Arabidopsis thaliana: one gene and its partners. The protein of the gene in region 1 interacts with the protein of each later gene in a pairwise test. Each region holds a gene or a part of one and is shown in the gene's direction. Other genes may lie near its edges.

The links.
Region 2: the proteins of SUMO2 (region 1) and AT5G48655 interact in a two-hybrid assay, tested with the Arabidopsis thaliana proteins (one study listed by BioGRID).
Region 3: the proteins of SUMO2 (region 1) and DME interact in a two-hybrid assay, tested with the Arabidopsis thaliana proteins (one study listed by BioGRID).
Region 4: the proteins of SUMO2 (region 1) and PKDM7D interact in a two-hybrid assay, tested with the Arabidopsis thaliana proteins (one study listed by BioGRID).

What each region holds. Positions count from the first base shown.
Region 1 is NC_003076.8:22,383,060-22,386,863, reverse strand, and holds SUMO2 (small ubiquitin-like modifier 2), read left to right. Parts: upstream 1-1,938; 5' UTR 1,939-2,091; coding exon 2,092-2,163; intron 2,164-2,673; coding exon 2,674-2,712; intron 2,713-2,785; coding exon 2,786-2,935; intron 2,936-3,027; coding exon 3,028-3,117; 3' UTR 3,118-3,304; downstream 3,305-3,804. Other genes in the region: SUMO3 (small ubiquitin-like modifier 3), read left to right, coding at 793-867, 1,045-1,194, 1,286-1,396; AT5G55150 (F-box SKIP23-like protein (DUF295)), read left to right, coding at 3,472-3,774. UniProt on the Arabidopsis thaliana protein: Ubiquitin-like protein which can be covalently attached to target lysines as a monomer. Does not seem to be involved in protein degradation and may function as an antagonist of ubiquitin in the degradation process.
Region 2 is NC_003076.8:19,729,828-19,734,703, reverse strand, and holds AT5G48655 (RING/U-box superfamily protein), read left to right. Parts: upstream 1-1,547; 5' UTR 1,548-1,826; exon of another isoform or gene 1,827-2,187; 5' UTR 2,188-2,217; coding exon 2,218-2,430; intron 2,431-2,532; coding exon 2,533-2,590; intron 2,591-2,703; coding exon 2,704-2,819; intron 2,820-2,904; coding exon 2,905-3,129; 3' UTR 3,130-3,157; exon of another isoform or gene 3,158-3,161; intron 3,162-3,262; 3' UTR 3,263-4,314; downstream 4,315-4,876. Other genes in the region: AT5G48657 (defense protein-like protein), read left to right, coding at 1-200, 290-685.
Region 3 is NC_003076.8:1,307,483-1,312,119, forward strand, and holds the start of DME (HhH-GPD base excision DNA repair family protein), read left to right. Parts: upstream 1-1,631; 5' UTR 1,632-1,754; exon of another isoform or gene 1,755-2,137; 5' UTR 2,138-2,303; coding exon 2,304-2,874; exon of another isoform or gene 2,875-2,985; coding exon 2,986-4,637. UniProt on the Arabidopsis thaliana protein: Transcriptional activator involved in gene imprinting. Catalyzes the release of 5-methylcytosine (5-meC) from DNA by a glycosylase/lyase mechanism.
Region 4 is NC_003070.9:2,734,851-2,742,899, forward strand, and holds the start of PKDM7D (Transcription factor jumonji (jmj) family protein / zinc finger (C5HC2 type) family protein), read left to right. Parts: upstream 1-1,985; 5' UTR 1,986-2,198; exon of another isoform or gene 2,199-2,417; 5' UTR 2,418-2,661; coding exon 2,662-3,015; intron 3,016-3,107; coding exon 3,108-3,179; intron 3,180-3,310; coding exon 3,311-3,388; intron 3,389-3,474; coding exon 3,475-4,002; intron 4,003-4,098; coding exon 4,099-4,326; intron 4,327-4,735; coding exon 4,736-4,897; intron 4,898-5,207; coding exon 5,208-5,576; intron 5,577-5,977; coding exon 5,978-7,244; intron 7,245-7,333; coding exon 7,334-7,437; intron 7,438-7,784; coding exon 7,785-7,982; intron 7,983-8,049. Other genes in the region: AT1G08610 (Pentatricopeptide repeat (PPR) superfamily protein), read right to left, coding at 1-617. UniProt on the Arabidopsis thaliana protein: Functions as a histone H3 'Lys-4' (H3K4me) demethylase involved in the negative regulation of gene expression. Active on H3K4me1, H3K4me2 and H3K4me3. Not active on mono-, di- and trimethylated H3K9, H3K27 and H3K36 in somatic cells.

The sequences.
Region 1 (3,804 bases):
CATTGTCCCTGATCTTTACGTTACGATACAATGCCTATTAGTTTATCAAATTAAAAACTGGAAATATATTATGTCGGGCCGAAATAGAAGTCGTCACGAAACATAGACTAACCATTTACACACTATGACGGTCGACGTACATTATTTTTTAATATTAAATAATAACCATGCATGCATTAGAAGTTTAGAACATCAAGAAATATATAAATTTTATAAAGAGAGCTTGCCCTAAACTTTGTCAAATAATATCATAATTTTGAGTTTCTTTTTAAAATACCACAAAAGTTATGTTTGCTAAGATTTTTAAAAGTTTCTAACTGTTGTATTTTTTTTGAAATTATTAGATTACCGTGGTAATTAGATTTTATTTTTAAATATGATTTATAAATTTTCTAAAAACTATTTGGTCGGTTCACGAAAATGGGTTCCAACTTTATATACTGTGTAGAAGTAATTAAGCCCACATATGAGCATATTTGATCTTAAACCAGCCCAATAGCCCATTACGAATGCTTGATTAAACGGCAGTGTTTTCATGTACGAATTCCACGCTCTCCTAGCCGTCGGATGATAAGCTACAATGATTATGAGCCGTTCGATATATCACCACAAGAATCTGTAGATCAAAAGTGAGTGCGATCAAGAACTGGTTTCAGTCACTTTTTTGACAAGTCTCTCTTTCTCAAAAGTCAACCCCTTATTTTGCAATACTGTATTGTGAATCTCTCTATCAGGCCTTCGTATTTCTCACAGACTGGAGTTTTTGTTTCATAAAATCTGATAAAAGGAAAGATGTCTAACCCTCAAGATGACAAGCCCATCGACCAAGAACAAGAAGCTCATGTCATTCTCAAGGTCAAGAGCCAGGTTTTTTCACTGTGTTCCCTCTTTAATCTCCTTGAAATTTTCTGTCGTTGCTGCTTGGTTGATAATACTATATATACAGTTTCTTGATATGAAAACTTTGATGATACTCTTTTCCAAACTGTGATGATCTAAAGTATAGAGTGATTAAAATCTTTTTTCTTGATTGGTGATACTAAGGATGGAGACGAAGTCTTATTTAAGAACAAAAAAAGCGCTCCACTTAAAAAGCTCATGTATGTTTACTGCGACCGCCGAGGTTTGAAATTAGACGCATTCGCTTTCATTTTTAATGGAGCTCGTATAGGTGGCCTGGAGACTCCAGATGAGGCAAATCACTCTCTTTTTCATTTCCCTTTTACAATTTATATGTTTGTCAAAAGTGTATCATTTACTAAACCAAGATTCTCCAATTTTAAAGCTTGATATGGAAGATGGAGATGTGATAGATGCGTGCCGGGCGATGAGTGGTGGTCTACGAGCAAATCAGCGTCAGTGGTCTTATATGCTTTTCGATCATAATGGGCTTTAATTAGGAATAATTTGGCTGGCTTTGTGATATTTGACTACTTTCTTCAAGCAAAATTACTTGAAGTTTAAATCATGGTCGGTTATCGTGTGTGTAAATGACTCATGAGTGATTGGATCTTATGAATTATGATATTAATGGTATCTGGTTACGGATTTTTAGAATCTTTGTACTTTGTTAATTTTACAACCGTGAATAAACAACTCATCAAAACCTCTAAAACTCAAGTTGGCTAATTGTAAAAGGTCACACAACAAAACCATATTAAACAATTGAAATCTTTACTGGTTTGATCAAAATCAAACGGTTCACTTTGAACATCTTCACTTTTCCCAACTCAAACAAATCTACTCGAAAGCTGAGATTTTCACATTTTAAAATTCTTGGGTAGACACAGAAGTAACCAGCCCATTTGAGCCCATTAAGAATGCTAAAACGACATCATTTTAAGTTAGAGATTATACTCACTCACAGCCGTCGAATGATATAGATCAATGATTATGAACCGTTAGATAAACAAGAATCCGATGCGACCAAAGATAGTGGTTTCAGTCTTTTTTATTCTCTGCCGAGTCTCTCTCTCTCCCTCAAACCCTCAAGTTCTGCAATCCCGCGAATCTCTCTTAGGGCTTCGCTTATATCGCAGATCGAAGTTCTTGTTTCCAATCGCCGACCGTATAATCTGATAATAAAGTAAGATGTCTGCTACTCCGGAAGAAGACAAGAAGCCTGACCAAGGAGCTCACATCAATCTCAAAGTCAAGGGACAGGTTTTCTATTTCTCACTCACTCTCTCGACTTCTATTTCTTGCATTGTGTAACGATTCGTTGTCTGGTTAAAGTTTTGAGTGTGATTAGGATCTTTATAGCTTCTGATTGCTTCAATTCTAGGGTTTTGAGTTTGTCTGCGTTATTCCCAATTTCTATTCTGGTTAGCTTGTCTATGAGGTAGTGATTATTGTGTAAGCGTGACTTTTAATTGGCTTAAATTTGAAGCAAACAAAAGTTATCTGAGAATTGTGAATTATGTTTTGACTCATAATTGTAGCAAACAAAACATTACTACTCTTGTATGTGTGAGGGTGTGTATTGGTGGAGACAGTGATTATCTTCGAAGAAATTGTTGTAATGTTGTGAGTTGTGACTAAGCTAACAATTTATAACCTTGAACTCTCACTATAGCCTATTGTAGTTATGCTTTTGGAGTATGGAGCATTTGTTTCATGAAAGCTTTTCGTTGCTATGATTTGTTTTGCTTATGTTTCTGTACCCATTGGTAGGCATTTTTCGTTGTTGGTACTTGGTTGGTTATAGATACAGTTTTTGGTATTGAGAAAATCGTATATAATACTCTTCTTGAAGTAACAATCATTGGTAATTTTTCTTGTGTAGGATGGTAATGAAGTCTTCTTTAGGATCAAGAGAAGCACTCAGCTCAAAAAACTGATGAATGCTTACTGTGACCGTCAGTCTGTGGATTTCAACTCAATTGCTTTCTTGTTTGATGGTCGTCGTCTTCGTGCCGAGCAGACTCCAGATGAGGTAACATCACTCTCTGTACCCCATTCTCTTTTACTGTTTTCCGTTTTTCAAAGTTGTATGATTTCCTTAACCGAGAATCTTCAATTTTACAGCTTGAAATGGAAGATGGAGATGAGATCGATGCAATGCTTCATCAGACTGGTGGTGGTGCTAAAAATGGCCTGAAGCTCTTCTGCTTTTAGTGGCGGTTATTTTAATGGTTTTCCATAAGATTGTGTGATATTAATGGATTTAGTGAATCGGCTTTAGATTAAATTTGGCAGGCTTTGTTTTACTTTGACCAGTTTCTACTTACTGGTGAAAGTCTATGTGAATCATGAAACTTATTGGATCTTAAAATATTAATGGGCTTGTTTATGGATTTTGGAATCTTTCGATTGGCTTTAGCTTAAAGTAAACGCACAAGTTGCCGAGTATGGTAATTAGTCAAACTTGCTCCCCACGGTTCCTTGGATCCCAAGTTTCTACTGGCTATATAAGAACAGTTCTCTTCTTTTTTTTCCATAAGCTCCGGTTTCTCTGTACCCTCGTAAATAATGGCTCTACCTTCTTCGTCGTGGTCAGAGTTTCTTCCGGAGCTTCTCAACACTGTATTCCACAACCTAAACGACGCCAGAGACATTCTAAACTGTGCCACGGTCTGTTCTTCTTGGAAGGATTCTTCTTCGGCCGTATACTACAGCCGGACGTTTTCTCCTTTTCTGTTTATTTCCCATCTCTCTTCCAATGAAGAAATCCGATTCTCCGACCAGTTTAGAGTTTTGTCTCCGGGAAAGTTGGGTTTCTCAGGGAACCAACAAGCGTGGGTTTGTGGCAGTACACTAGGGTTTTTGTTGACGGTCAGTGCTTCTTTCCCGTTTGAGGTTCAT
Region 2 (4,876 bases), 2.7 Mb from region 1:
AATTCAGACCGTCTCCTGCACACAATGAAAGAAACAACAGAGTTAGATCAGTTCCTCCCACACCAGAAACATACAACCATCAAACATATGGTGGAGGTGGCAGATCAATGGGAAATCCAACAGAAATAAATAGACGGCAATCACGTGATCATGTCCCGGCGCGGCCAATACGCAATCTTAGAGGGCAAAGTAGTGAAAGGGTATGCATAACTTTACCATTTTATAGTACAAAATATGTGTCACAACTCATAAATATATATCGCTAAGTAAGTGTATTTTTCTCAATTAGGTGGCGACTATTCCTCCATTTCCTGGAACGGGTTCTAACATGGAAAATCAGAGTTACACACTTATCTTTGACAAAGTGAAAGAAGATAGGAACCAAGCGAGATCTTACAATGGAACCGATCATAGCACCCCGACTCGACCCATCATCGACCAACATCATCAACCATTACCTTCTAGTCCCAAGGTAGATAACCAAAATATCATTTCCCTTTCTTTCATAAATCCTCTTTTTTTACAATTGACGTTGTTATGTGTAGGGTTGCTGTTTTCCTCCATGGAGCCGAAAGGGAAGCTAATGAAGATGATCATTTCCCTTTTTTACATAATCCTCTTTTTTTTTATTTGCTTCTGCTTGATTTTTTTTAATAATATCTTTGTTATTCTTATGGAGATGTAAGGAGTAGTTTTTGCTAAAACATTATGCAACTTCTGTTACTCTATTTGCGTTTTTTTGAACAATACTCAGATTCATTTATAGGGGTGAATCCTTTTATTCACCTCCTATTATAATAAACAAAAATTAAATTTACTTAATTATAATATACAAACCTTAACTATTCTTTTATAAACCCAAGACGATATTTAATTTCGTTTAGTTACAAAAAATCTAAACTCTAATCTCTTTTTGTAAACCTAAACCGACACTTAACATCGTTTAATTATAAAATATAAATCCTAACCGTTAATTTTAAATCCAAACCGAGTTTTAACCTCGTTTAAGTGTAAAATCAGAATCCGTTTATAACCCTAAACCGAAATTTAACTTCGTTTAATTATAAAATCTAAACTCTAACCCTCTTTTATAAACGTAAAAAGCCAAACCGACATATAATTTCGTTTGGTGACATGTTATATTTTATAATTATTATTATTTTATCAGATAAAAAATTCTGATTGGTTAGAAAAGATGAGGTAAATAAAAAGATTCACCTCTACATGTGAATTGTGAATCCAAATATTTATCAGAAAATCAAACGTTACGATTAAAATGACATTTCGAACATTCATGTATTTTATTTCAAATTTGAAAATTTGCGTTTTTTCGACATTTTTTTAAAATGCGGTGGATAGATTTACAAAATTAAAAAGTTGAAGAATTTCTTAGCAATATTTATATGTTTTTTATTTACCTGTACGAGTGTTTGAAAATCCAAACAAATGGGCTGAACAAAGTTTTATAAATTGTTATCGTCATTGCTAACGTAAAACCCAATGGGCTATTTAAACATCTCAAACGGGTCCATTTTAGAAATTTTGCTTTTTCCTAGGAAACAACACTGTAAACCACGAGGAAGCTACATTACGATTTCGACACGTGTCACAATCGCACCGACCGCGTCGCTTTTTATTACGAACTCAAAAAACTCTCACCGTTTCTCACCACCTTCGTGTTTCTCTCTCTATTACAGAAAAAAAGATTCAAAAACCCTAGATTTCACAAAATCGATTGGCTGTCAAATTTCTCTCCGGCGATTTTCCTCGAGTGAAATTCGGCTCAAGGTGATTATAGCGATCATCGAATCAAATTGATTGAAGAGGTTCTTCTCTATCAAAACCTAATCTAATTCATTTCTCTTGTTGTTTGATTAAAAACGATCATTCTCGATTTTAGGATCGGATTTGTTAATTTGATCGTCTCGTTACTGTCAATTGAGTTTAATTTCGTAAAGTCGATGAATTTCTGGGAGATTGATTCTTTTCCCTTTTTGCTGTGAAATTGTGTTCTTTTGAAAAATTCTGTCTAAAGTTTGGATTTTTTTTTTCTGTAAGTATATGTGAAACTATACATTTTGAGATTATTCACGGAAATTATATTATCTTGCTTGCAATGATTTGAGTTTGTATATAAGACTTTGAGGAGTAAATTAGATTGTTTTATTGTTTGGTTGAAACTTACAGGTACAAAGGTTAGTTACTTTGAGCTGAAAGATGAACACGTCAGAGGTGAGAGTACCTCGAGGAAATCGACGGAGGAAAGCTGTGATTGATCTGAATGCGGTACCTGTTGATCAAGAAGGGACCTCTGCTTCTGTTAGAACTCTTACGGTGCCTATTACACCGTCTCAGCCTGCTCCTACGATGATTGATGTCGATGCTATTGAGGATGATGTTATTGAATCATCCGCTAGTGCTTTTGCTGAAGTATGTTTGATTTCTGTTATCTTTTAGTTTCTCATTTTTGCAGTGATGGATAGGATTTGTTTGTGTAGTAGGTTCACTGATTTTGTTTTATTTTGATACCAGGCTAAAAGCAAATCAAGAAATGCACGTCGGAGACCTTTGATGGTTGATGTAGAGTCAGGTCAGTTTTTATCTATTGTGAAAAGAAATTTTACTCTTCTGGTTCAATGTCATGTCTCAAGTAGTAGGGAGAGACAGAGAGTTTGATGGATGGATTTTACTTTGTGTTTGCAGGAGGTACGACTAGATTCCCTGCCAACATAAGCAACAAACGCAGAAGGATTCCTTCTAGTGAATCTGTCATCGACTGTGAGCATGCCTCTGTAAATGATGAAGTCAACATGTCTTCGGTAAGAGAGATGTGAATTTCTGGAATCATGTACTGTGCAGTTATGCGATTTAGTCTAAGCTCACAATTTCTTTTATCTTGTGTAGAGAGTGTCTAGATCAAAGGCTCCAGCTCCTCCACCAGAAGAGCCAAAGTTTACATGTCCAATCTGCATGTGTCCCTTTACGGAGGAGATGTCAACCAAGTGCGGTCACATCTTCTGCAAGGGATGTATAAAGATGGCAATATCTCGCCAGGGCAAATGCCCTACTTGTAGGAAAAAGGTTACTGCAAAAGAGCTGATTCGAGTTTTCCTTCCAACCACTAGATGAGTGGTCCGGCAACATCACCAGCCACCCTGTAGGTCAAACAATGATTATATTATCATCCACGTTTGTAGAGATTTACTAGATTTGAATTGTATACTTAATTAACTAAACTGGAATTTGGTTTCCATTCTCACAGGTCTAATGGTTTATCAGACTATCCTCCTATTCACTTTGGAACATTGAAGGGACTTCGTTGACTTGGTATTTTTGAATATTTTGCTTTGTTGGAAGAGAAATATTCAGTGATCAAGAAGCCAGAAGGCCCTATCATTCGATGGATATCATTGGTAATAACTCTTTGTTTTTAGTTGTTGTTCTATGTAATTTAGGTCTCTGCAAACCTCTCAGTCGATACTCTTCTCTCTTGATAGATGATAAGATATATGGAAAAAAAAATTAATATTGAATCTTTACTAAAATTCTACATCTTGATCATGTCGTGTATGCCAGTTCTCATCTCACATTGCTGATAAATGCGTAAAGTATTTATGTATGTCAGTATGAGCAAATAGTAGGAATTATAAGGGAAATTTATTGTGAAAAAAAAAAATAAAAAAAAAATAAGGGAAATTTATTAGAACTCCATGCACTGGGTCTAGAGTACAATGGTAGCAGAAGATAGATTGCAGAAGCTAATAGAATCGGTTTTGAATCGATGCTCTATTGCTCTGCCTTGTGGTTATTCACTCCTTAAGGTCACATTTTGCTAGCATGCATCGTCACCTAGTCATGGAAACTTGGTGGATGCAGCAACATTGGCATCACCTGTAGTCTGAGATCCGGGCACGGGGTTCTGTTTGTTGAGGCCAGCTTTGGGAGGAAAATAACCAAACCGTCTTTTATGAAAGGGCCAGCCATAATGTGGAAGAGGAAACCAACCCCAGAGTTGCTGGTTATTGGTGATAACCTCACTTTGCTCCTCAGGTGCATACCTCCCTTCAGCGCCTGATAGTAGAAGTGCCAGAAGGAGCTTGGCTTTCGTGTTATTCTTCTCCATTGTGATTTGTATATGGTAGTCTACTTTGATTTCTCGTTTTGCTGGGTGGTTATACTGAGAAGTAAGAACTGGATACTATAGGCCAAGCTGGTGATATGGTGGTTTTTTAGATGCCTTCTTTGTGAGGGATATTGAATGGTGTATAGATTATAGTTTTTGATCCTTTTGGAATGTTAGTCCACAGTTTTATTAACTGTTGTGTGATTAAGATCTTTCTAGTGGTAGATGCAATTCCCTGAACTCCATTGATAACAAACAGACCAAGAACACCAACCTCTTGAGCCTTGAATCTTGTAGTCATGGAGTGTGATTGGTATAGCAATGTATTGTTGAACATTAGCTTAGTTTGTTTTCTCTACCAACTGGTGAGTCGCGACATCTTAAATATCAAGAAGATAGAAATCGCACCTTGCTATTCCTATGTGTAGCCTCTGAGATTGTTGGCCTTAACGACTAGGTTTTGGTAACGACTCAAATTACTTGTCTTAGTTATATCTTTTCCATCTGATCCAACAGTCCTGAGTAACCGTTAAGCGGTCACTTAACTTTCCCAAGAAACCTAAACCACCATCAAGCCAAAGACTATCTCAGTCAACTAAACTCGACTAAGTGTCGGTAAACTTATTTGGCTAGTTGAGCTATATAGTTTAGTCGAAATATCTCAGTTTTTCCAGCTCATGTCATCTCGTCAATGCACTTTTTCTCAATACTGGGTAAAAAAGTAGCTCATGCTGCTGCATCCGGGTCAAAATT
Region 3 (4,637 bases), about 21 Mb from region 1:
TAACAAAAACGTTAGGGAAAAGTTGACCTAACTAGCTTGATTGACGTTGAACTTGTCAATGCGAAAGCGATATTTCCAATATATACTACATGTAGTATTATTTATATGGAAGTTTCTAAAAAGGTGTTGAGTGGATTGTTACTTGTTGGAGGATGCTATTTTTTCCTTCTTGCCATAATATTTTACGAGTATGGGATAACTACATACTCATGATTATGAAACGCTCACTTTATTTGAAAAACCTCCTAATACACCAAATATGTCACTAGATTCCAAAACGTAGACCAATTGTATCTAATCTCAAATTCTCAATCAAAGTATTAATTTACCGATGGTAAGAAAAGTTAACCGATATAATTATCAAAAGAAAGAATAAGTCAACAGATTCTTAATCTCTTTATTTTGGTATATGAACATTTGTACAAAAATCTCAAAAGATATGTAACTGTTTAAAATATAAATTCACTGAGATTAATTCTTCAGACTCGTGTTAGCTATAATAATGTCAAGAGTTCTTCTTGTTTCAAGGAAAAACCTTAAAGATATGTATATTTTCTGTAATTATGATGATATAATTTGCTATTCATTGTCACAAACATTACTTTAAAAAATCGTATTTTCATTACTACAATGTTGACTAAGAACAAAAATACATTGATTATTGATATATCGTCAACTGAATTTTCTTCCGAGGGATATAATTCTCAAACATAGCAAGAATCTCATAATAATGTTTCGTGACTACCTTTAGACGAAATTTTTTTAAGATTCGTAACGTGACTTATGGTCTCTTGCTGTGGGGGTCAATGCGAATAAATCTAAATGTATGGGAGTCAAATAAAATACCAAGAAAAATAAAGGAGCAGCACCCAATAAACTATATGGGACCAGAAATCCTTTCATTGGTTTAAAATAGGATTATCCCGAAAGATGAAGGACTAAATTGAAACTGATTGGGGGTAGGAAGAGATCCGTCACAATCATTAATGGCTTCCACGCGGAAACTTGTCGTTTATACAATTTCATTAACTTTCGGGTCGGGTTTATATTCCAAATGGGTCAAATAATATTAGTTTAATACACTAACGGAGTAATTAATTGGTGACTACAATTTTATCAGTTTGGTGCAATTAGAAACGAACATAGTCGTAAAATACGAGTTCGGTGTTATACCTTTATTTACGTTAAAAAAATACGAGAATTTTGTGTCAAATTTCAAATTAATTTCATGAATATATGGAAATTATTAGATACTCTAGCGAAAATAGTGATTATGAGCGTTTTACAAAAATACGATTTTAGCATTGAACTTCCTTTATGTAATTCGGTCAAATGTTGGCATGAAGAAGCAAGTTTGCAACATTAAATTTCATTTAAAAATCGTGTTGACATACTTTAAAATCTAAATATAGGAAGAAGACCAAAACATTAAATTTAGTAAGATTCTAATGAACATTTATAAGTTATAACTTATAACCAACAAAAGTTGGGTTTAGCGTTGTTGCTTTATCTGAAAACTTGCAAACTAAACCATTTTAATAGGACTAATGACAATTAACAACAAAATACACTTAAGCAACAACGTCCTCGTGAATATAATTTGGGCCTCAGGCCCATATTGCTAACGCCAACTGATATTTCACTTTATTCCTTCTTCATCTCACCACACTCTCTCTCTATCTCTATCTCTAACGGCATAGCTGACTCAGTGTTCTCCGGCATTGACTCGCCTGAGAATCAGAAAGCTTAGATCGGTGAGCTTTTAGCTCCATTTTCTGTTTATTTACATATTATTTCCTTTTTTTCTCTCTCCCTTTTTTATCTGGAATTTGTTCTGCTAAATTTTCCAGCTGTTACATTTTCCGATCACGAGAAGAATCACTGGGTTTTTATGTTAATCAATACATGTTCCTGTTTTCTGATCATAAATCTCAGCTATTAACACCTGATTTTGATTCTGCGTAATAAAAACCTCTGATTTGCTTTTATCTTCACTTTCCCCATAAACATTGCTTACTTTATTCGCTCTTCTTTTACCGTTTCCAGCTAAAAAATTCTTCGCTATTCAATGTGTTTCTCGTTTTGTTGATGAGAAAAATATCTGACAAAAAATCATTTATTGCATTTTATGGTGCAGATTCTTAGTTAATGTCGCCTTCTCTAACCAAGTCAGATTAAAAAGGAGTGTTCGTCCATGTTGCTTTGTTTTGGTGTTTGGAGAGAGTTTTCGGAGAGTTAGGTGAGTGTTATTTGGGGTGAGGTAGTGATAAGGTTTGAAGGGGGAGTGATTCATCAAGTGTGTTATGAATTCGAGGGCTGATCCGGGGGATAGATATTTTCGAGTTCCTTTGGAGAATCAAACTCAACAAGAGTTCATGGGTTCTTGGATTCCATTTACACCCAAAAAACCTAGATCAAGTCTGATGGTAGATGAGAGAGTGATAAACCAGGATCTAAATGGGTTTCCAGGTGGTGAATTTGTAGACAGGGGATTCTGCAACACTGGTGTGGATCATAATGGGGTTTTTGATCATGGTGCTCATCAGGGCGTTACCAACTTAAGTATGATGATCAATAGCTTAGCGGGATCACATGCACAAGCTTGGAGTAATAGTGAGAGAGATCTTTTGGGCAGGAGTGAGGTGACTTCTCCTTTAGCACCAGTTATCAGAAACACCACCGGTAATGTAGAGCCGGTCAATGGAAATTTTACTTCAGATGTGGGTATGGTAAATGGTCCTTTCACCCAGAGTGGCACTTCTCAAGCTGGCTATAATGAGTTTGAATTGGATGACTTGTTGAATCCTGATCAGATGCCCTTCTCCTTCACAAGCTTGCTGAGTGGTGGGGATAGCTTATTCAAGGTTCGTCAATGTGAGTGATCAAATCTATTTTCAGTTTTTTTTTTTCCCTTTCTTCCGTTCTTGCAGTACTTAGAGTAGAACATGAATTAGAATATCTTAAGAAAGTCATGGTTTTGAACAGATGGACCTCCAGCGTGTAACAAGCCTCTTTACAATTTGAATTCACCAATTAGAAGAGAAGCAGTTGGGTCAGTCTGTGAAAGTTCGTTTCAATATGTACCGTCAACGCCCAGTCTGTTCAGAACAGGTGAAAAGACTGGATTCCTTGAACAGATAGTTACAACTACTGGACATGAAATCCCAGAGCCGAAATCTGACAAAAGTATGCAGAGCATTATGGACTCGTCTGCTGTTAATGCGACGGAAGCTACTGAACAAAATGATGGCAGCAGACAAGATGTTCTGGAGTTCGACCTTAACAAAACTCCTCAGCAGAAACCCTCCAAAAGGAAAAGGAAGTTCATGCCCAAGGTGGTCGTGGAAGGCAAACCTAAAAGAAAGCCACGCAAACCTGCAGAACTTCCCAAAGTGGTCGTGGAAGGCAAACCTAAAAGGAAGCCACGCAAAGCTGCAACTCAGGAAAAAGTGAAATCTAAAGAAACCGGGAGTGCCAAAAAGAAAAATTTGAAAGAATCAGCAACTAAAAAGCCAGCCAATGTTGGAGATATGAGCAACAAAAGCCCTGAAGTCACACTCAAAAGTTGCAGAAAAGCTTTGAATTTTGACTTGGAGAATCCTGGAGATGCGAGGCAAGGTGACTCTGAGTCTGAAATTGTCCAGAACAGTAGTGGCGCAAACTCGTTTTCTGAGATCAGAGATGCCATTGGTGGAACTAATGGTAGTTTCCTGGATTCAGTGTCACAAATAGACAAGACCAATGGATTGGGGGCTATGAACCAGCCACTTGAAGTGTCAATGGGAAACCAGCCAGATAAACTATCTACAGGAGCGAAACTGGCCAGAGACCAACAACCTGATTTATTGACTAGAAACCAGCAATGCCAGTTCCCAGTGGCAACCCAGAACACCCAGTTCCCAATGGAAAACCAACAAGCTTGGCTTCAGATGAAAAACCAACTTATTGGCTTTCCATTTGGTAACCAGCAACCTCGCATGACCATAAGAAACCAGCAGCCTTGCTTGGCCATGGGTAATCAACAACCTATGTATCTGATAGGAACTCCACGGCCTGCATTAGTAAGTGGAAACCAGCAACTAGGAGGTCCCCAAGGAAACAAGCGGCCTATATTTTTGAATCACCAGACTTGTTTACCTGCTGGAAATCAGCTATATGGATCACCTACAGACATGCATCAACTTGTTATGTCAACCGGAGGGCAACAACATGGACTACTGATAAAAAACCAGCAACCTGGATCATTAATAAGAGGCCAGCAGCCTTGCGTACCTTTGATTGACCAGCAACCTGCAACTCCAAAAGGTTTTACTCACTTGAATCAGATGGTAGCTACCAGCATGTCATCGCCTGGGCTTCGACCTCATTCTCAGTCACAAGTTCCTACAACATATCTACATGTGGAATCTGTTTCCAGGATTTTGAATGGGACTACAGGTACATGCCAGAGAAGCAGGGCTCCTGCATACGATTCTTTACAGCAAGATATCCATCAAGGAAATAAGTACATACTTTCTCATGAGATATCCAATGGTAATGGGTGCAAGAAAGCGTTACCTCAAAACTCTTCTCTGCCAACTCCAATTATGGCTAAACTTGAGGAAGCCAGGGGCTCGAAGAGACAGTATCATCGTGCA
Region 4 (8,049 bases), on another chromosome or scaffold:
GGGCTCCCACTCAAACTCATATCTTCTAAGAGGACCAAAGCAGTTCTTATATGCCCTTTCTTGCAAAGATTTCCGATGATCATGTTATAGGTAATAGTATCTGGAACCCCACCAGACATTACCATTACTCTCAAGATACACATTGCTTTATCCAGTTGATCAATTCTGGCTAGACCACGGACTAAGTTTGAGCAAGAAGGAAAATGAGGAACCTGATTATGTCGTGCCATCACCTCGACAAGTTTGCACGCATCTGTTAACTTCCCATTGCTGCACAGGTTATGAAGGATCTCATTGTTGGTCTCTTCGTCGTTCTCTGTAATTGGTCCATCAGATGATAAACCAAATTGCTTCATAGGTTTCACTCTGGCTCTCAAGTTAGTACCGACACCATAGTGATGGAACTCTGAGCTTCTCTCAGCATGATCATTTACATTGTCAATGCACACACTACTTAACAAGCCGTGACATCTAAAAAAAACATCCTTTTTCAGCCCAATTTCTTGCTTCCAATCTAAAGAAGAAAACTTTCTGCAAGATAAAGGATTCGCCTGCTTTTGAGACAGACTAGGAATATGCAAGAACTGAACCTCAAGTAGCAAATTCGACGAAGCCATTTCTCAGAATCCAGAAGCTATTTTAACAAAACAGAGATCTTTCCTTTTACAAAAGCTTATCAAACTCAATGAAGAAGAAGTTAGACCAATAATTATTTGCTGGTATGATGTTCAGTCTCTGCTGCTTTATCTCATAACCTATTCTTGAGTGAATGGAGAAACCAAACCTGTGAAAAGGAAAGGTACAAGTTATAGAGACAGAGAAGCAGACTGAAACAGTTTCCAACAAAAGAAAAGAAGCAGAAAACCTTCAAGTTGCGGTTAAGTTTGAGAAACCCTAACAAATCTGGAGAAATGATGAGTGTGAGAAACTCACTGTTCGTTGTTCGAAGCCGACGCGGGTTTTGAGATGATAAGTAGGGTTTATCCTAAATTTACAATGTGCACCCTATATGTCTCGACATGTTTCATTTATTCCCACAAACTTATGAAACATCTAACATTAACCTCCTCTGTTTTTATTCCCTTTGTTTTTGTGAATCGGTTTAATTATTTTGGGCCAATTCAGCTATCGGATTGGGCTTTTTCAAGTTTTGGGTTGAGTTACAACCAAATTAAAAATCAAACAGAGATCAATTTCTCCGCATAGAAAAATAACATGTTACATTACCATTCGAAAACAAGATGAATAGTCATTTATACACGCCTCTCTTACACATTATAATGTCTAAATAATTGCATTATCATATTCAAAATTTAGATATGTTGGTCAAAAACAGAATTAAGTATTATAAATTGTGTATACCAAATTAGTTGACGCTATCATTGCATATCATACTCACATACTACAATATTTATTACATGAACTAAGTGATTGTATTCCAGTGGCTATTTTCATTTAACTATAACAAAAAAATCGAATGCGATAAAACTACTTCGAAAATAATCGATGGCTCTTGGAATTTTTATAAAATCTAGTTCTTGAAATAAATAAAAATTTCTATGCAATATTTTTCGGTAAATTTTTGTTCTCTATTACAATAAAATTTTATTTTAAAGAAATGAAATTGTTATTTAGCGTATATTTGTAACCAAATTAGCAGGCGTAAATACAAATCCTTTAAATAACTCTGTTGTTGTGTGGATATGCGGTAATGTCCACCCGTGAATAAATGTTTACGTGTTATATGACCCAACAAAGTGAACCAATTATATTACTCCTCTCTAACGCACTTGTTTATTGCATTTTTATTTATTTGATGGTCGAAACAAAATAGTAAGAGTAGTTGTTGCATAGGAAATTGCATCTGCTTGCTTTTGAAGCGTTAATAACTTATAACCAAGCAAGACATATATCATACAGAGCAAAAAATTAGGCAAACCCAGAAAAAGCCACCACATGTTCCTCTTCTCATGATCTTAAAATTGAAAAAAAGAAGGTGATAAGTTTAATCTAATCTTGACCAGTGAAATAGCTTTTTGTTGCTTGTTGTTTTTGTTCATTCTTCACAGATTTAATTGTCACATACCCAACGTATATGGATGGACCTGTAGATTTAATTCCAGTTTTACCCTTTTCTTCTTCCTTTCATCTGATTTTGTTTGCTGCTTTTTTTTTGTTTTCTGGGGAATATGGAAAAGGTTAGGTTTCATATTTGGACCTTTTTTTTTGGTGTTGAATTTTTCTTCTTAATTTTTATGCAAACATGGAAAAGGACATGCGATGATAATCCTGAATCTACTAGTGCTTAGATCTGATGAATACTGGATTATTAAAAAAAAATATTACTAAAAATTTCAATGATCTAGGGTTTCTTCAGATCTTTAAATTTGTTGCTGATTTTACTCGATTTCTCTTAGTCTGGGTGCAGTTGATGGAGCTCCAGCTATTTTGACCATCCAATTTCACCAGAAACCCTAAATCACAAGACTATGTAAGCATTTTCCTTATGGCTCTTCTTCCTGATTTTTGATTCAGCTAATTTGGTGATGAACCGTTTATATATATCTGTAATCGTACTTTACCCTGAAAATATGTACCTACCATATGTGTCATGTGTATTTTTATTATTTTATAAATGGTTGTGATATTATTGAGACATGAATGAATGATGCTTCAATTGTATGTAGTGTTGGCACAGAAGTAATGGGGACAGAGCTAATGAGAATCTGTGTGAAAGAAGATAGTGATGATTTGCCATCTGTTCCTCCTGGTTTTGAATCATATGCAACTTTTACCTTAAAAAGAGTAGTCCCTGCTACTACTTCTGATAAAGCCAAGACTCCTGCAATTGAAAGTGTTTCTGCAACCGAACAAGCTAAGATGGAAGTTGAATCTGATGAAGCCAAAGCTGCTCGGGCTCTACGCCGTAGACCTTGGATTAATCATAGCGGATGTGATGATGATGGTGATTGTGCTGCAAACAATGACAATGCTGCATCTCAAAATCCTGATCAAGTTCGTTCTTTGTTTTGCTTTTTATTCCTGGCAACTTGTGTTTCAACTTTCCATCTCTTTGTTTGCCTTGCTTATGCATGGTGTTGTTACAGAATTGTGATGTGAAGCCAGCTCTTCCAAAGGGTGTGGTCAGGGGATGTGAAGAATGTAAAGATTGTCAGAAGGTTAATCTCAGTTAATGCTTGTTTCAGAAATAAACTTATAAACGTCTTTCGCTTGAGCATTAGATGTTTGATCTTTTCTTCTTATTTACGATTTTCATAACCCTCTAACGTTATATTCACAAGTTTGGCAGGTAACTGCGAGATGGCATCCAGATGAAGCTCGTAGGCCTGACCTTGAGGACGCCCCTGTATTCTACCCGAGCGAAGAGGTCTTGTTCATATTCTATACTTCCAAACCCTTTTAACTGAATTTCTAGCTCCATATTTCTAACATAAACTGCAAACCTGTTTCTAGGAGTTTGAAGACACTTTAAATTATATCGCTAAAATAAGACCGGAGGCTGAAAAGTATGGAATCTGTCGCATTGTTCCTCCTCCTTCCTGGAAACCGCCGTGCCCACTGAAAGAAAAGCAAGTATGGGAGGGTTCTAAATTTACAACACGTGTCCAAAGAGTTGATAAACTTCAGAATCGGAGTTCAATGAAGAAGATTTCAAAGCTTCCTAATCAAATGAGAAAGAAGAAAAGAAAGTGCATGAAAATGGGAATGGATTCTGTCACTAATGGTATGGGCGATCCCTGTTCTGCAAGCACTGGAATGAATGAACTTGAGACGTTTGGGTTTGAACCTGGTCCAGGGTTCACACTAAAAGACTTCCAAAAATATGCTGATGAGTTCAAGGCTCAGTACTTTAAAAAGAGTGAAACTTCTACAGACGATAAATGTAAAGTTGATAATTCAATAGACTGCTGGGAGCCAGCACTTGAGGATGTTGAAGGTGAATATTGGCGGATAGTAGATAAAGCAACTGAAGAGATAGAGGTAAAGTTTTGTCCCCTGTTGTTCTTTTTATTTGGGGGTTTATGGTCTATTAGGACCCCTGTATCTCCTAACTACCACAATGATTTTTCAATATAGGTGCTATATGGTGCTGACCTTGAAACTGGGGTATTTGGTAGCGGATTCCCCAAGATATCATCAAGTCACAATGCTTCTTCTTCAGAAGATAAATATGCAAAATCAGGCTGGAACTTAAATAACTTTCCAAGGCTTCCGGGATCCCTCCTTAAGTACGAGGGCAGTGATATTTCCGGTGTCCTTGTGCCGTGGCTGTATATTGGGATGTGCTTTTCTTCTTTCTGCTGGGTAAGATTGATCTCTGTGAATTGCATAATTTATTTTGCAGGTTAAAGCATGTACTTAGTTGGGATCTCTTCCTTTTACTGAAATCAAGCGTAGCCTCATACAAAAACTTACAACTACAACCGGATGTGCTTTGTTTTTTGTATACCTATTCACAAATAGTAGATAAATGTGATTAAATTTCTGTGCTACATATTTACAATGATAATTTTTCCATTATTCCTAAAGCTACGCTAGGATTATTATTGATTCAATTTCCCACAAAAGTATTAGTTAGTGTCTTCATATTATACAGTTTTCTTACACCAGTGGATGCAATTTTCATTACTTCACATCTTATTTCGTTTTATATTTTCCACTTCTGACATTCCTTTTGTTCTGCTTTTTTTTTGTTTTTGTTTACCTGAAATAGCATGTTGAAGATCACCACTTGTATTCGTTGAATTATATGCACTGGGGTGCACCGAAATTGTGGTATGGTGTTGGGGGGAAGGATGCTGTTAAACTCGAGGAGGCAATGAGGAAGCATTTGCCTGACCTTTTTGAAGAACAGCCTGACTTACTTCATAAGCTAGTAAGTATTGGATATTTGATGAACTAAAGCATCGCTTTGCTTCTCTATAATCAATGATCAATAGAATCTTGAAAAGTAGAAAAGTGTTCAATCACGATGATGTTCTTATTTCACTAATATGTTAATGTTAGCATATAATAGAATATTACCATATCTGTGTTTCCATTTTTGTAGTTAATCACCCTGTAGGAATTTCTACAGACCCGTTTTATGTCCTCTATTGACTTGCACAGTTGCACCTGGTTTAAATACATTTGTTGCAGATTATTGTTTCGGTATAAAACAAATCCTTTGATGCTCTTTCGTGTAGGTTACACAACTCTCCCCGTCAAAACTGAAAACCGCAGGAGTACCTGTGCACCGTTGCGTCCAGCATGCTGGAGAGTTTGTCTTGACTTTTCCTCGGGCATATCATGCTGGATTTAATTCTGGTTTCAACTGTGCTGAAGCTGTGAATGTAGCACCCGTTGACTGGTTACCTCATGGGCAGATTGCCATAGAGTTATACTGTCAACAGGGTAGAAAAACGTCCATCTCGCATGATAAATTGTTGCTTGGGGCAGCAAGGGAAGTAGTGAAAGCCGACTGGGAGCTGAACTTACTAAGGAAAAATACTGTAGATAACTTAAGGTGGAAAGCATTCAGTGCGAAGGATGGAATTTTGGCAAAAACATTAAAGGTAAAGATTAGATATTCTTACTCTTGATTCTTGAAGTTTAGATGCCTATAAGTGTGAATGATTGGAAAATCCTGAACTCATGAATAACTTGAGAGGTATCTTTGCAAACTGGTACCACGGTGGTATCCGTTGTAAACTGGTAGCATGAGGTTGTAATTGATATGGAACTTGAAATTCTCTTAAGTTGAGGGGTATTGCATATCACACGAATCTACAGCTAACTAACAAGGGAAGAACGGAAGATTACTACACCACCTCTTACTAGTTAAAACAAATGATTAGTTCAGGAGGTGTTCATCTTCTGCCTGGGTCTAACTGTACAAATAAATCTCGTAGGTTTAAGAGGATCATTCTTTATTGTCAATATGGTGATTAATGGACTTGTCATGTTTTTTATTTAGGCACGCATTGACATGGAACGTACGAGAAGAGAATTTCTGTGCAACTCTTCACTTGCATTGAAAATGCACAGTAATTTCGATGCTACCAACGAGAGAGAGTGCTGTATATGCTTCTTTGATTTGCACCTGTCTGCTGCTGGCTGTCGTTGTTCCCCGGAGAAGTATTCATGTTTGACTCATGTGAAGGAGTTGTGTTCATGTCCATGGGTTACTAAATATTTTCTATTTCGCTATGATATCGATGAACTGAATGTTCTTGTTGAGGCAGTGGAAGGAAAACTGAGTTCTGTATATAGATGGGCGCGTCAAGATTTAGGATTGGCATTAAGTACAGACGTCTCAGGAAGCAAGATGGAGATAGATGAAGAAGGAAAAGTCCACAAGGACCCGACTCCACAAACAACTGCACTTTCAGGGAAGGATTTGCAGTTGAAAGTAACATCGAAAGAAGTAAGTAAAGAGTTAGAAAAGACTAGTAAATTATCTCATGTTAATTTACTTCTGAAAGAAAAGGAGGAGCAAATAACGTCAAGTCACTGTATGAAGCCTGTCAAAGAAGAAACTGTTTGTGATTCTTCTGATCCAAACGTTTCAGCTTGCCAACCATCTGAAGGAGGCATAATCTGTATGACAGCTGTTAAGTCCGCAAGTGGTAAAAAGAATTCACAGAGTCTACCCAATGATGTGATACTCCTCAGCGATGATGAGTATGACATACCTAGGAAACGAGGTTCTGTGAGAAGAGATGCAATTTCTTCTGGCAAGAAATTAGAAATACGAGAGAGACCGACCCACGTTTTGGCGTTAGAAGCTTCTGCCAAAATTGCTGCTCCAATTTGCCAAAGGGAAGGAGATTCGCTGCGTGATACACGAAACACTATATCATTGCCTACTAATGACCAAAAAACAATGAGAAGGGATGTACCGAGTTCTACTTCGCACGCGGAAGTTAATGCGGAGGCTACTGGGCTTACTCAAGATATATGTAACAGAATGGCAACTAACAGCCACGGTGGTGGAAAACCTACTAGTTGTAAATCCAAAAACTCTGGAGGTTTGGCTATAGTGGATGTTGTGGATGGGACAAGAAGTAGTTCAGGTACACCGTCTTGTTCGCAAAATAATAGTCCGGATAGGTTCATCCGCCAAAAGGGTCCCCGCATTGCAAAGGTCGTGAGGAGAATCAATTGCAATGTAGAGCCTTTAAGTTATGGATGTGTGCTGTCTGGAAAATCATGGTGCAGCCGGCGAGCAATTTTTCCTAAAGGTGACATGTGGTCAAGTATTTTTGCTACTTGAGAACATTAACAGTTATACATATTGCAAGTGCTTATTGTCTATTCTTCTTTGGTGCAGGATTTCGTAGCCGGGTTAAGTACATAAACATTTTGGATCCAACAAATATGTGCTTCTACATTTCAGAAATTCTGGATGCTGGACGCAACAGTCCATTGTTCATGGTTAGTTGGTAGATAGATGCTGATCTAATTTAACTAACCTTAAAAATATGTCTGAGTAGTGTTTCATTTTCAAATTAAATATTGCCATATGAATAAATCCGATGACATGAATCTGAACCGGAAATATGATCCATTATTTGGCTGTCAAAGACGTAGAGTCCCATCATGCTAACATAAACTTTAAAAGTTTTGAACTGAGTATGAAACCGGAATTAACCTATTAATCAACCTTTAAAATCTTGTGTGTGTGTGTAAAAAAAGGTTGTTTTGTCTTGATTCTATTGGTCATTGTGCAGTTCCAAAAATCTTGCCCATCAACAAACTGTGTGGTATGTTCTTTTTGTCAGGTTTACTTGGAGAGTAATCCCAGTGAGGTGTTCGTTCATATGTCGCCTACAAGATGCTGGGAGATGGTAAGAGAGAGAGTAAATCAAGAGATAACTAAGCAGCACAAAGCTGGAAAATCAGATCTTCCTCCTTTGCAACCCTCTGGGAGTCCCGACGGTTTTGAAATGTTTGGATATTCGTCACCCGCAATCGTACAGGTAAATCTTTACAAGTTTTGTATTAGGCTCAGATTTTTATGCTTATTTCTAATTATATATACATTTA